Alligator mississippiensis: one gene and its partner. The protein of the gene in region 2 purifies or fractionates together with the protein of the main gene of each other region. This does not show direct contact. Links are inferred from orthologs where the notes say so. Each region holds a gene or a part of one and is shown on either strand. Other genes may lie near its edges.

What was found.
Region 1: the proteins of SNU13 (region 2) and FBL purify together in Homo sapiens (affinity purification with mass spectrometry; 5 studies listed by BioGRID and IntAct, with this or other methods). This does not show direct contact. The link is inferred for Alligator mississippiensis from reciprocal best matches to the Homo sapiens genes SNU13 and FBL.

What each region holds. Positions count from the first base shown.
Region 1 is NC_081838.1:29,164,502-29,172,511, forward strand, and holds the start of FBL (rRNA 2'-O-methyltransferase fibrillarin), read right to left. Parts: upstream 3,005-8,010; 5' UTR 2,989-3,004; coding exon 2,907-2,988; intron 2,435-2,906; coding exon 2,300-2,434; intron 1,973-2,299; coding exon 1,832-1,972; intron 1,693-1,831; coding exon 1,598-1,692; intron 1,223-1,597; coding exon 1,052-1,222; intron 951-1,051; coding exon 818-950; intron 123-817; coding exon 10-122; intron 1-9.
Region 2 is NC_081827.1:97,064,437-97,071,738, reverse strand, and holds the start of SNU13 (NHP2-like protein 1), read right to left. Parts: upstream 3,007-7,302; 5' UTR 2,857-3,006; coding exon 2,854-2,856; intron 1,243-2,853; coding exon 1,122-1,242; intron 1-1,121. Other genes in the region: MEI1 (meiosis inhibitor protein 1), read left to right, coding at 6,599-6,724, 7,302-7,302.

The sequences.
Region 1 (8,010 bases), on a different chromosome or scaffold from region 2:
GCTCATTACCTTGATGGAGATAACAAAGTGGCCGCCGTTCTTCAGGAAGTTGTGCGCGTTGAGGGCGACAATACGGGACTGGTCAGGCTGCGCCACATCGGCAAAGATCACATCCACCATGCCTGGAGGGGGGGCATGGTTGTGAGTCATGACCCAGAGATCAGGGGACGCTGTGATCCCCCAGCAAATCAACTACACCCCCCCCCAACTCCACCTGTCTTGTGATATCAGCACTGGGAAAGGAAACCCAGTTGTCAGGGGAGAGGCAGGTCCCTGAACAGCACGGGTAGGAAGACCCTGTGCACAGACGAGCCTCAGTAACAGCAGGAAAAACCCAGGAATTTGGAGCCCCCAGAGGAGCCCTGACAGGCCGACCCCAAGCCTGGCCAGGCCTCAACAGCGACTGCAGAGAATCCAGGCATCCAGGGGGGTCTTAGGAGCCCCGACTGGCAGATGCCATGCCCGACTGAACTTTAGCAGCAGGAGAGAATCCAGGAGTCTGGGGGCTCCCAGGGAGCCCCAATACAAAGACCCCGTGCCTGGTCAGGCTTCAGCAGTGGCTGCAGAGAACGCAAGTGTCCAGGGGGAGGTGGGGGAAGGGGGTCTCAAGGATCCCCAGTACAAAGACCCGAAGACCAGCTAGACTTTCACTACAGCAACAGAGGACTCTGGAGTCTGGGGGCTCCCAGGACACCCCTCTGCCCCGGGGAAAGCCAATGGCAGGGCCCCCCTGAGTGCAGCCGGACCCCAGGGGAGAACGACTGGCAGGGGGAGGTAGGAGGAGTCAAGGGGGGGAGGGGACCTAGGGGGGACTCACCAATCAGCATGCGGTATTTGTGGGGGTGCCGGGCATCCTCTATGACGGGGATGATGTTGGTGCGTTTCTTGGCCACGTTGATGAGGTCACGGCCGGAGCGGTGGGAGAACTCCACAGCGTAGACCAGGCCTTCCTGGGGGGGCGCATGGGGTTAAGCTGGAGGGGGGGGTAATCCCTTTTGCCCCCTCGCCTCCCCCCCCCCCCCCATCCAGGGTAGGGGGTCCCAGTACTTACGGGGCCCACAATGTCCGAGACATGGGAGACGGTGGTGCCTGAGGCAGCGCCCAGGTACAGCACACGGACGCCCGGCTTGATGTGGATCTGGTCGATGCCCCCCAGGATGGCGGCTGCCAGCTTGGAGCGGAAGGGGTTCCAGGCCCGGTACTCCACCTTGGCCTCGCCATCCTGCCCAGCGGTGGGAGAGGGAACAAATCAGGGCTGGGGGGGAGGGAGTCTGCTCAAACCTTTCCCCAACCCCTGGGGCCTTCTGAGGGCCCTTTCACCCCAGCTTGGACTCCTGGGTACCAAGATGCCTCCTGGATCGGCCCCTGGAAGTGGTGTGCCCAGTGCCCTCTGGGACCCAGTAGCCTAGCCTTTCTGCCCCCCACATAACCACTGGGGGCCCCCCTCCCAGAACCAGCCCCCTCGACACCACCATTCAAACCTCCCCCTACCCCAATGCCCCCATCCTGATCCCCATCCCCACCACATCCCTCTTGACACTCCCATCCAGACACCTCCACCCGCCTTTGATCCCCTTCCCCCCCAGGCTCTGCGTACCTCCACCGCAATCCTCTTCTCCCCATACACTGACTCGCCCGGCACCAGGTTCTTGGTCACGAGTGCATCTTCCTTGCCCCGGCAAATGAAGACCCCTAGAAGGGATTACGAATGGGGAGGGGGTCAGAGCCAGAATAGCACCCCCCCATGGTCCCACCCACCCCAGGCTCCAACCCAAGCCCCGCCAAGGTGTCCCTACCCCCCAGCGCCAGCCCCTGCCCCAGACTCCAGTACCTTCGTGCCTGTGGGGCTCCACTGTCACCTTCTTGCCCCCTCTGAAGCCCCCCCGGCCCCCACCCCGCCCCCCACCACGGCCGCCCCGGCCAGGCCCTCCTCTTCCTCGGCCGCCAACACCTCCTCGGCCAAAACTGCCACCTGGGAAAGAAAAGGGGGAGAAGGATGTGGTCCAGTGTGGGCAGGACCCTGCAGCAAGTAGGGGAGTGTGGACGGGGGAGTCTTTTGCGATAGTAAGGATAGTAAATGGGGTCCCAGCCTTTTGGGACAGGAAGTGGAGGGGCAGGGGGAGCCGTTTGGGACAGGAAGTGTGGGGTGGGGCCTGGCTAAGATGAAAACGAGAGGGGGCAGCAGAGTCCCACAGCAGGGCAACCCCTGAGCCTGGCCCTCTGCCCCAAAGCTTGATGGGACAGCTGACCAGATTCTCCCAGCACGAACCAGGAGTGGATGGGGGAGAATGTAACTCACCTCTGCCTCCCCGGAAGCCACCGCGTCCCCCTCCACGGTCCCCGAACCCGCCGCGTCCCCCTCCACGGTCCCCGAACCCGCCGCGTCCCCCTCCACGGTCCCCGAACCCGCCGCGTCCCCCACGGGGGCTGAAACCTGTGGGTGGAAAGGAGGGGGGGAGGTCAGACATGCCCCCCTCCCCCCCACCAAGTCCATCCCTCACGCAAGCCCCCCTCCCCAATGCTCCCCCCTCAACTCCTAGGTCCCCCCAATGTCACCTGCCCCACATGCCCCCAGCCCCTTTGACTTCCCAGACATATAAGGACCCCCCCAGTACCCCACCACCTCCAAGCCCCATCAACTATCCTTACTGGGGGGGAGGGGCTCAGCTGGGGGGTGTTATCCCCCCACACACCCTCAGTCTGCTGCCCACCCCAACCTGATCCAAGCCCCCCCCCCGGAACCCCGGAGTCCTGCCCCCAGTGAATAGGGGGCTCCGAGCTTGGGGGGGCTGCCCAGCTACAGTCCCCCCCCGCAAGGCTGAGAAGGCAGGCGTCCCGGGATCGCGTGGGGGGGCTCCCCCCCCGGCAGCAGCTGCAAGGACCCGCCCCCCCCGCCCCGCGCTCACCGGGCCTCATGCTCCCACGTGCGCTCCCCGGGGCCGGACCACGCTGGATTCGGTGCTGGCTGGCGCGGGGCGCGATGCGCATGCGCGGGCGCCCGGAGCGCCCACACCGGAAGTTGGCTTCGCGGCCCGCGGTGACGTCAGCGGAAAGACCAGAGGACGTGCTTGCGGGGCGGGGGAGGGGGGGCGATTTTTGTGGCGTCACATTTGTCTCTCTCTCTCCCTGTGACGTCAAGTAATTTGTCTTTGGACCGCTCTGGGGTGTGACGTGGTGCTAGACTGTGAGGTTAGCCTTCCCCGTGACGTCACAGGATGAAAGTTTTTCTCAACTTTAGATCTGTGCTGTCTGATGTCAGCTCTCTGGGGGAGGTCAGGTGTCTCCTGTGATGTCACAGGGTGAAAGGTGGCTGAGGGAAGGCAGTGTCATGCAAGGACGTCAGATCCGTGAGGTCAGCTCTCTGGGATGTCACATGATAGCTGATGTTTCTTGTGATGTCAGCTCTCTCTGTGATGTCATAGGACAAAAGTTCTGTCAGAAGAGGCAGCTTTCTCTGCAGTGTCCTGTGACATCACTTCTCTGGTGTCAGCTCTCTGGGATGTCCCACGATGTCAGGTGTCTCTTGTGATGTCACCTCTCCTTGTGATGTCATAGGATGAAAGAAAGGTCTCTTGGGGAAGGCCATTTTCTCCGCGGTGTCAGGTGGCGTCAGATCTGTTATGTCCTATGCCATCAGCTGTTGGGTATCACGTGACATCAAATATTTCTTGGGATATCAGCTCTCTCTGCGTTGCCATATGACATCAGTTCTGGGATGTCACACGGCATCGGGTCTCTGCTATGTCCCATGTACTCAGCTCTCAGCCCAATGTCAGATTCCCATATCAGCTGTGACATTGTGCCGTTCGCATGTGATGTCAGCCCTCTCTGTGACATCACATGGTGTCGGGTCTGTCCACTCTGCTTTCTGCTCCCCACCCTGTGCTCCCTACCCCTTCCACTGCTCCGTTTTCCGCTCCATGCCCTGTTCTCCCTTCCCCATCAGCTGCTCTGCTGTGTGCTTCCTGCCCTGTGCTCCCTGCCCCATCCACTGCTCTGCTTTCCACTCCCTGCCCTGCGCTCCCTGCTCCACGCGCTGCTCTACTTTCTGTTCCCTGCCCTACGCCCCCTGCCCCTTCCACTGCTCTGCTTTCTGCTCCCTGCCCTGTGCTCCCTACCCCATCGGCTGCTCTGCTTTCTGGTTGGATTCAAGGCAGTTACCACAACGTAGGAGTTGATGGCATTTGTCTACCGTGTAGTGAGCATGTTTGTTACTCCCCTGAAAGAGAATAGTTTTCTGATAGCATACTGTTAGGTTAGCAATAATTTAGATTATTAAGAAGTATTAGCTTTGCAGCTGAATATAAGGCATGACCTGTGGCCTAGCAATGCCGCTAACCACAAGGCAGAATGATAGCTAAGCCTTTACTTGTGTCAAGTAATCATTTTAACTGTGTTAAGCATTTTCTGAGTAAAATGCAGCAAGTGAATCTGTGTCTGTGCTGTAAAATCAGCTACAGCAAGGAACAAGATAAGACAAAAAAGTCATTGTTCTAAATACAGTGATCGTGTCCTTAAAAAGCATCTACCACTGCAAATTCTTGCTAACGTATCATAATGTTACTGTTACTTAACTTTTAGCTTTTAAAAAATGCTAGTTCAGCTTAATAAAAATATGCTGTTATAAAGATTTGTGAAGCACCACCCAAGTAAGTATTGCTTTTATTAACCCTGTAGTCTTGCCTTGTTATAAAAAGTATAAAAAATTGCCCCACCCTTTAGGGGGGGCCATTTTGCCTTTTGCTGGCTTTATGATCTTTGCTCGAACAAATAAATAGCTGTCAATTCTTTACCCGCGTTGTCTGATACCTATTACAGCTAAATAACAAACTTTAGGGAGTTTCCTCCCACCACATAAGCAAGGCAGGGTAGGGTTAAGGGATGAGATGTCATGTGTCCATACTTCTACACCACTACCGAGTCTGGGCAGCTCTTTGAATAGCTCCTGCTAAAGTGGAGCCCAGCCAAAGACTTGCAATGATTGGTCCAATATGCAGCAGAGCGCCAGGCCAAGAGTTGCATAATATAGCCAGGGAGAAAGTCCAGCTGTTGGCTTCTGTGATCCAAACATCATTGCTACATTCCCCAAAGGACCTTCCAGATCATCCGTTGAGACCCCCCCCCAGGCTTGAGCATACAAAATAATAACCTAAGCCTGATTCCCCTTTAATTAATTATCCAACAGCATGAGATCACTATTCCAGGGAAGAGTTCGGGATCCTCAAAGAGCAGTGCCCTCCGACTGACTGAAGAGAGTTCAGTTGAAATCTGAGAGCAGATTTAGGCTGGACATTAGAAAGAACTTCTTCACAGTTAGGGTTGCCAGAATCTGGAATGGGCTTCCAAGGGAGGTGGTGCTCTCCCCTATCTTCAAGAGGAGACTGGACATGCACCTAGTTGGGGTCGTCTGACCCCAGCGCTCTTTCCTGCCCAGGGCAGGGGGCTGGACTTGATGACCTACTGAGGTCCCTTCCAACCCTAACATCTATGAATCTATGAAACACTGACCCGGTCGATGCACTCGTTCAATGGTTCCCAACTTTCTTTAGACTCTAGGCCCTTCTCTGTTACCTCCAGGCTTCCTCGTTTGAAAGGTACCTCTCGTTAGACTCCAGGGCCCCCTTGGAAAAAGAAAGCTCTTCACTTTCACTCATTTCTAGACTATGAAGAAAATCCTAAAATGATTCTTCTGTTGCAGAATACTCAATGAACTCCCAGTTTCGCAACCAGGATAACTCTCGGGGCTTTGAGTGTATCCGGAGAAGTACAAGAAAATCCAAAGCAAGTTCCTCTGAACCGTGCACCGCTTTATTGGGATATTATCAATCTGGCAATGTGAGCAAGAGCAGCTCCATAAAGCAGAGAATACATGGACACACTTGCTGCCAGGTGGTGAGGCCTCAGGCCCTTCAGAATCCGTCCTTAGGGCACGTTCCAGACTCCCACCCCATCCACTCCACTTTGGTGTGGAGGAGTTTGATACAGTTCAGATTCAAATTTCTGTATTCACATGCTTTTCTGTGAGAGAACAATCTCCTGGGCAGTGGAGTAGAGACCTGGGAAACTGAGTCATGGCTCGGTTGTTCTTTCCTTCATAGCATTGGGTGTGATTGTTGGCTGGCATGTCTCAACTCCCTTGGTCACCAGCTGTCTTCTCTCACTTGCTGGTGGCTGGCATTCAGACTGAACTGCTCCTGGGATCAGGCTATCTGCAAGCAGGAATGTAGTGAGCCACTGACCACAGCAGAAAGGAGTGAGGGGTGGTTCAGGACCCCACAACGCTGGCAGAGGAGGGAGGGAAAAGAAACCTTCTGAGACAAAAGGACTGGATGGTGCTACTGTCTCACACCACAGAGAAGGGACAGAAAATAGAGAGAGAGGCAAAGAGTTAGGACAGAAAGCTAATGGCCTCCCGGGCTGCATTAGTAGGAGTGTGGCCAGTAGATTGATGGAAATGATTCTCCCCTTAATATATTCAGCACTGGTGAGGCCACATCTGCAGTCCCGTGTCTAATTTTGGGTCCCCCACTACAGAAAGGATGTGGACACATTGGAGAGAGTCCAGTGGAGAGCAACAAGAACGGTGAGGGGGCTGGGAGACATGATTTATGAGGAGAGGCTGAGGGAACTGAGCTTATTTAGTCTAGAGAAGAGAAGACTGAGTGGGGATTTGACAGCAGCCTTCAACTCCCTGAAGGGGGTTGTAAAGAGGATGGAGTTGGACTGTTCTCAGTGGGGGCAGACGACAGAATGAGGATCAATGGGCTCCAGTTGCAGAGAGGGAAGTTGAGGTTAGATATTAGGAAGAATGTTCTCACTAGGAGGGTGGTGAAGCACTGGAACAGGTTACCCAGAGAGGTGGTGGAGTTTCTATCCTTGGAGGTTTTGAAGACCCAGCTAGACAAGCCTTGGCTGGGATGATCTAGTTGGGGCTGGTCCTGCTTAAAGCAGGGGGTTGGACTCGATGTGACCTCCTGAGGTCCCTTCCAACCCTCATGTTCTATGATGCTATGACAGCTAACCCTGGACAAAGAGCCAGGACCCCTAGTTCTAGTGGGATCCTCCAGGATCTTCCCTCACTACACATTTGTTCAGAGTCCAGCATGGTGGGCTCTGATCCCAGCTGCACATGGGGCTGGTTCTGGCCCAGGGATCTGTACAGGGCCTGGTCAGGCCCCAATCCCAGCTAGGCCAGTGGTTGAGATCTACAAGTTGCTCGAGATCTACAGAGCACCTAGTCAGAGCCCCAAGTGATAGAAACTTTGATGCCAGTCGATACAGCCGGGCCCATATCCAAGGGACTGGATATTTAATAGAAGCCTTCTCCAGGTGGGCTGAAGGTGCTGGAGAAGTCTGCTGAAGATCAACAACTCCCATGATGAAATCTCTGTCAGTACTAGCTGCCTTCCCTTGACACGTGGTCCAAGAAAAGCATTGTTTGTTGATGTATTATCGCAAAAGTGTTGTCCTTGGGTAAGATTCAGGTAGTTCCTGCCCCCACAGCAACCTCACACCCTTCTGAATTATACCGGGCTTGCATATTCCCACCCCTATGGCTTGGTAGAGATAGGGCATTACAGCCGTGGGGGGAATTCCATGGCAAGGACCTAGCTTGATTTAATGGGAAATGCATTGTTGAATTCCCCTGGCAACTGCCATTGTTTGGGGTTCATGAACTATGGAGATAATGTGTTTCTGATCACTTCTCCTCCTGCAGTGCTTTCAGGTCAAGAGCCTAGCCAACTTTCAGAGCTGATGGGTTCCTTGGAATGTCCTGAGATTGTAAAAAATGACTTCCTTGGCTCTGAGCCTTGGAAGTCTGGGTGAAAAGTATTGCATAATTCAACTTGTCATGGGTAACATGAAGAAAAGCTCTCATCCCTAAGGAGGGGGCAGGAGCAGAGGACAGCGGTTGTGAAATTTCTCTCCTCCAGCTGAGATCTATCATGAATTGTTTGCCTCCTGTCTTCATCCTGACAATGTCTCTGGGGAATTTTCCATGGGATTTGA
Region 2 (7,302 bases):
ATTTTTTATGCATTGGTGCAATGGACAATATAGAAAAGTCTTTGAATGCAATGTTGATAAGCCAGCTGGTCACCTTCTACAGTCAACCCCCCCCATATTTAGAAGCCAGATCATTCTTTTTTGGGTGGTCTGGGGAAGTGGTAGGCATAAGGCAGTGTGGCACCTCAAGGCAGTGATTCTCAACCAAGCTGCTGTGGCACTAGGGGGGTTCTGTGAGATTCTTTTAAGGCTGCTGCAAGATATCAGCAGGCATGCAAACACCTAAACATAATTCACAAGATAAACCCAGAGATTTCAAACAGCAATCTATAGTGTCAAAAACAATCTGACTGACTGTGGTCTGATTTCTTTGCAGCAAAAGAACTACTCTGTTTTCTTGTTTTTTATTACAGAAAAATAAGAGTGAAAATGAGGAACTGGCATTTTCTAAGGGGTCTCTCAAGGGGTCAAGAATCACTGCCTGAAGAGACCAACTGGTTCAGACAGGGGTGAATTTTCCTAGGCAACAACATACTTCATCTGATGCTGTAATGTGGTTTGTAACTCACTTAGCTAGCAGCTAGTTGCTAAACTAAGAGTGAGCCATGAATTGTTTGCTATACCTTTTACATGAAAATGTGCTGTTCCTCTATTCAGCAGAGCATCACTGCAGTTGCATGCAACTAATTAGAGAAACAGCATTCTGCAATGTAAAAGCTGTAGCAAGCTGATGGAGCACTTCAACAGCTGTGCGTAGTGTATACTGCAGCTATACATGCTCCTAGATAGCTTGCAAGCCCTCATCTTCACAAGGGGTTTAGAAATCTTACCCTGCCAGGTATCTGGATTCTACTATATACCAAGAATACACTTTTCTCCAGCTATCAGAGGAGCACAGAGAAGCCATACAATTTCTCTCAGGTTAGTTTTATTTCCATTAGACCATTTAATCAAACGGGAAACCTTCTCATTGCACAAATGGAGAAGATATATATTGAGATCCAGGAGTAGGGGGAATTACCAAACATCTAAAGCAAAATCCATAGGTAGAAGACAACCACCACCCACAACTCCTAGTTTAGTAAACCCTTTTTTTGTTAATGTTAGCAGTGCTAGTAAGTTTCCTAAAGGTCAGACTTTACCTTCATTGGCACCTTTGCGTAGCTGTTTGTAGTTGCAAGACTGCTGTACAAGATCCAGCAGTGTCTTGGTGAGCTGTGCATCAGCCAGAGGGTAAGCTTTGGGGTTCACTTCTGCCTCACTCTAGAGAAAGGAAATCAAAGTTACAGAAGGGGACAGAGGGAAGCTTTGCTTGGAATACTAATATCTGAACTCAGAACCAGAGGTTCAAGTCCTGCCAGGATCAAGTGAGCCTTTTTTTTTTTTAGGATGTTTGTTCATGGCTCCTCTGGATGAAACACACTACTGTGGTCCTGTGTTTGGCACTGACACTGGGGATCCCACCATTTACCTGTAAAAATGGTTTTCCCTTGGATCCTTGATCAAAATTTCCCCCTATACAATATTGTCCCATATTGCATACCAGTTCCACCCCAGATGTACTTCAGTGATAGGTATGCAAGTTAAACAACCCAATTTATGAAGCACTGGACTAGGGCATCAGAGGTCCTGGTCTCCTGCCACCAGATGATCTTGGCCATGTCAGGCCTAGGCCCTGAGAGCTATACCCCAAAAGCACAATACAAGACAGATGTTGCTACAAGTTTCCTTGCATGCTCTCTTTCATAAGCAAGGAAGCAGGAAAAAAAAGTTGTCAGCTTCTTGCACTGTTATCATTCCTAGTCAGTACCAGCCCAGGGAATAGAGCCTCCATGTACTGCTAGCCCTGTATTCCTGCACACCAGGGGTGGCCAAACTTCCCAACTCTTTTAGCCATACACCAAAAATCTTGACAAAACTTTCAGAATGTGTGTGCTCCCAAGCCCCTGACCTTGGCACAGTGTTCCAGCTCAAGTAGCCATTTATCATTAAAGAGTTTCTTCAGGAGCTGCACATGACTTTGATCCATGGGCTTGGCCACCTCTGCTCTATGCCAACAGACACGAGAAAGGCTCTTGGGCAGCAATTCTCAACCAAGGTGCCACAGCACCCTGGGGTGACCAGTGAACCTTTCAAGGATGCCATGGGGTGCTTGCTACACAGTCTATTAAGTCTGCAAACACAATTCATCACATAAGCTCAGAGATTTCAAATGCAAGGTCCCTTCAGATTTACCCAAAGAACCTTGTCTATGTCCGTAGACCAACAGGATTACAACCAACAACCCAGCTCTTTGCAAAAGAAAGACTGCTGTTATGCTCCTGGAGTCAAAGTTCAGAGTGAAAGCCAAGAGCTAGCATTTTCCAAGGGCTGCCTCCAGTCTGTCCAGCTGCACCGAGTTGAAAAATTTTGAACTACTGGCTTAGCTAGTAAACCAGTAGTTACTCCCCCTCACCTCTCCTACACCGGGAGGAAACCCAACAAGAATCCCCCTTAGCAGGAGAGTGAGGCTAGTGCATGCAGGCACCAGAACAGAGAGCGCTTAGGGGTCGGGGAGATCAAGCTACAAGAGGAGAAAGGCTCAGTATGCGCGCGACAGACACGCGGGAAGCGCGATGCGGAGGCAGAGGGACAGAGGAGCCACGTGGGGCTTTAGGGGCCTGTTTACCCACGCACGTGGCGGCCTGCCTCGTGTCCGCCCGCCGGCCCAGCTCCGATCCCACCGGCCCGGAGCTGCGTGGATCCGCTCCTCCCTTCCCGCCCCCCTCGGGCCGGCGGCCTGGCGGGGCAGCGGGGCCCGGCGCTCGCGTTCGGCCGCTGGAACGCGGTGTCTCAACGTTCCACGCCCGCACGTGTCCGCCCGCTCCCGCTCACCATGGCTGCAATCGGAGCCCCACAAGCCGCTCCCGCCAGGATGGATCCTCTCGGCCCGAAAGCTTCACGGAGGCGAAGAAACAAGTTCAGCCGCTCCCAGACGTAGGCGAGACAAGTCGCAGCCGGAAATGAGGCTGAGCAGAATCCGGGAGAGGCGGGCGGTAGAGGCAATCTCGGATTAAAGAGGCAGCGTGTGCGCGTGCGCGCGCTCTCTCTTTTTTTTTTTAATTAGAAAAAAAACCCCATACCAGCCCCTCCCTCTGAGCACCTGGAAATGTCGTGGGTGGTGCTCCCTGCCCGCGAGCGGAGCCTGGTACAGAAGAGGAGAGAACGCGGCTTTGCTTGCAGCTGAGAGAATCCTGGCAGTTACAGCCCCTTCACCGCCCTGCGCCAAACCGGGGTTTAATTTAGGTGTGGGAGGTGTGAGAGCCGAGCTCGATTTCCAGTGCAGAAAGCTAGGCTGCCTCACACAGCAAGGTACAGGAGACATCTAAAGTTGTTGAAGTACTATCAATGCTGCCTGTGGATGATCCTCTGAATCCAGTGGGAAAGGAGAGACACCAACGTTAGTGTCCTTATGCAAACAAACACCACCAGTAGTGAGGTGATGATGACCATCCAACATCAGCTTCATTGGGCTGGCTGTATCATCTGGATGTCTATCTTCAGACTCCCCAAGCAAGTTTTATTCTCTCAGCTCAGTCAAGGCTTAGGCTCAAGAGGAGGTCAGAGAAAGCACTTCAGGGATGTCTTCAAAGCCATCTTAAAAAAATCCAACATCTATGTCCACTCATAGGAGACAATTGCCCAGGACCTCCGCAACTGGAGGAAGAGTCTGCTGCAGGGATCTCAGGGCTCTGAAACCTCATGACAACAACATGAGATGGAAATGTGGTAGTGGCAGAAACAGCGTGTTGCGGACCAAATCAAGAATCAAGAGCCACCCACCCCACACAGAAACACATGTCCAAGCTGCATTAGAGTCTGTTGATCCCAAATAAACTTAATCAGCCATCTTCAGACACACAAATAAGACAATCATGGAAGACAGTCATCCTTGGCTATGAGGGATTGCCAAAGAAGAAGAGGTACAGAAAGCTAGGCTCCTTCACACAGCCAATGATGCAAGGTACAACTTGGATGGATCTCACCTTGTTTTTCCAACAAGGAGATCTTTTGGACTGTGGCATCCTTTCCCAAAGTGGGAGGTGGGCAGTAGTGACAGCATCCTGAAGAATACAGTGCAGAGCAATTCCTTGCTGTCCAGGGGGTGGCTGTGGGGAATGGACACAATATGCCCTCATACTGAACACATCCTTATGTCTAAATATCTCAAGCCTTAGCCTATGTATATAGAGATAGCCTCATGTCTGTGACTAAGTGTGTGTATATATAATACATGCACTTGCACATACACACATAAAGACCCTTTATATATAAAACATGCTAAGACTTGATTTTCAAACAGTCATGCATGGAAGTCAAATAAGAGCTACAGTACATTGGTAAATCAGGCCTAGTGTTCTGTATCAGTTGATATGATGGTTTGTCTTGATCCCTACTTACCAGTTTCTGCCTGAGTTTCCATATTAAAACAATTTAGAAATGGAGTTATTGCTGTATTTTCAGGAGACACAGAGGCGCCCTTTTTGTTGCAACCCCTTCTTTTTCCTCCTTTATCCTGATATTTCACATATTTTTAACCCCTCTATTCTGTCTCCCCTATCCAGAAAGGGGTGACTAGTTTAACTCATTAAACAAATCCTAGAATCTAGAAGCAGGGCTGGAAGGGACCTCCAGAGGTCATGTAGTCCAACTCCCTGCCTGAGGCAGAATCATCCATATTTAAATTATCCCATACAAACTATAATCTAAATTCTATATAAGACTGTTGTCGACCCTGACCCCAGACCTAACTCAACCTGCCAGGGGTAAAGCAGGGAAACCACAACAGCCAACATCCTGCATCTATGAAATGTCAATATATGCTCAAAAGATCCTGGGCAGAGGACCACACTCCACTCTGCAACGGAAAGCAAAAACCTCCACAGTCCAATCATGGCGTAAAATCAGAACAGTATGTATACTCAAATGTGGGTAGGGCCATTGCAACAATTCCTGAAGTGGAGAGAGAGGATGAGCTGGTAATTAGGCCACCAGCCTTCAACTTTGTGGACACCTGGATTCAAGTCCAAACTTGGCTACCAACTTTCTCTGTGGCTTTGAGAAAATTTCAGTTGCCCGTCTATTAAAAAAGGGATTACGCTGCAGGGGCGGGCAATTATTTTGTGTGGAGGGCTGCTTACTGAGTTTTGGCAAGCCATCAAGGGCCATATGACAGGCAACCAGGGGCAGATACATATTCATTTTCTAAACTTTTTAGGGGCCCCATGGGCTGGATAGAATGGCTAGGTGGGCCGCATCCAGCCCGCGGACCACATCTTGCCCACCTCTGGATTACACCATCTCCTTATTTCATGGAGGGCTTTGATGATCCATATATTAACTAGTGTGATACTCAGACGCTACAGTGGTGGAATCTGTTAAAGTACTGAAGAGAGAGAAAGTCACTAAGACATGTTATACCTCCTTAGTTATATCTCTCATTGTTTGTTTCCTTACACCAAACAAACATATAACCTGTAGGCCATTTAACACTGGGCAGTCAATTTCTAGGCTGTCCTGATTGATGAGAAACATAGTATTGTGAGCCTTCCTTTTGGATCACTGGGCACAGAATCACTGACACCAGGAGATTAACTAGTAGATGTAGCCAAGTTACCACCAAATGCAGGGCTGGCTTAAGTGTACTGATGCACTAAGCAAAGGATTCTTTATTTCTACCTACTCCAAGAGTGAAATGGTTGGCTGGGCTTTGAAAATTCATGTAACAGTTTCTAGCTCGAGTCACCCATAGAACACAGGCTACGTTGAAAGAATGCCAGCAAACACCATGTCAGGGTTTGGGTTTTGTTCTTTTTGCCCTCCTGTTTCTATCTCCCCCTTCGTTATTCTGCTCTTCAGGCTTCCTCTCTCCATTACTTCCCCTCTTCCACCCACTATTTTGAGTCCTTCGTGTCTCTTTCCATCTGTCTCCCTGCTCTGCTTTCTCAGCTCCTCTCTCATCTTCACACCCTTTCTTTTCCACCACACTCTCTCTGCCTCTCCCACCGATTTCCTGCTCTGGGCTTTTCACTTCCTCAGCTAATACCATCTGGACCTGTTTCTCTTCTCCTTGCCCCCTCCCCATTCCCTTCCCTTGGCTCTGCTGGAACTTTTACTTCTTTTCCCTCACTCTCTCTGAAGCTTTTCTGCCCCCGCCTGGATTTCCCTGTCAGATCTCCCTCCTCTGCCCTGTCTTCTACTGAAGGAGCCTTATTGCTTCTCTGTGGGAGCTGCAGGGTAGATGCCTGCTTCACTGCATGGGCCAATGCCCTTTACACCCTGCCCTTGTGCTTTGGGGTCCTAGTCCTGGCTGCTGGGGTGGTGGGCTCAGGTGCGAGTGCCACAGACAGACCGACCAGGACGTCTACGCCAGAGCCGTCTGACACACACTCTCCCGCCCGCCCAAGGTGAACCTAAAACACTCAGATCACTTCACTTCACGCCACCCCCCCCCCCGCGCATGCGCAAGGTGTTCGGCCCTCCCGGCGGAGTTACTCCTCCCCGCCACCAAGCTACGCATGCGTAGGGTTTTCCCGCCAAATTGGTGTGGTGCTTCTTTGGCCGATCTCTGTGCGGCGCCATGGAGGCTTCGCTGCTAGTCTGCGAGCGGCTGCACCCGCGCCATGACCCGCGCTGGCTGCTGCAGCTGCCGCCGCCTCTGTGCCTGGCCTGTATCATCGAGGCCCTGGGCGACGGCGGCTCCTCGGTGCGGAGCGAGGGGGCTCGTGGTGTCTTCCTCCCCCTCCCCCCGCTCTGTGGAGACGCCCTAGTCGTGCCCTCCCCCGCCTGGAGCAGAGAGGAATGCTGTAGAGAGATGGCCTTGGGTTGAAGTCAGGCCCAGGGCTTGAGAGATCTACACCTTGCAGGGCCATGGACCAGAGCTGTACAGCCGGGGCTCCCCTGGGCCTGGCTCACTTGATCCCAAGGGGATGGGGCAGCAGTTCTACTCCCCCGCATCCCAGCAGGCTCCTCAGCAGTCTCTCCACACCTATCCCCTCAGCCTTGCCCCTCACTGCCCATGTGACAGCCCAGTCCTTGGCCCTCGCAGCCCAGCCCCTGATGCTACCTGGGCAGGCATGGGTGCAATGGGAGTTACCCAGGAGTTGAGCCCCCAACTGGGAGCACTAGTGCACTAGCCTCTGGCATTATCAGCCCCATAGCCAATAACATTGGTTCCAAAATTAAGGGGTGCCTGCACCCACCCCCTCAGCCCTGGGGTGAGCCCTGCCTGTCCATCCCTGCAGTGAACCTGAGGTTGGTTCGGTTTTGTTTTTAACTCCCAGC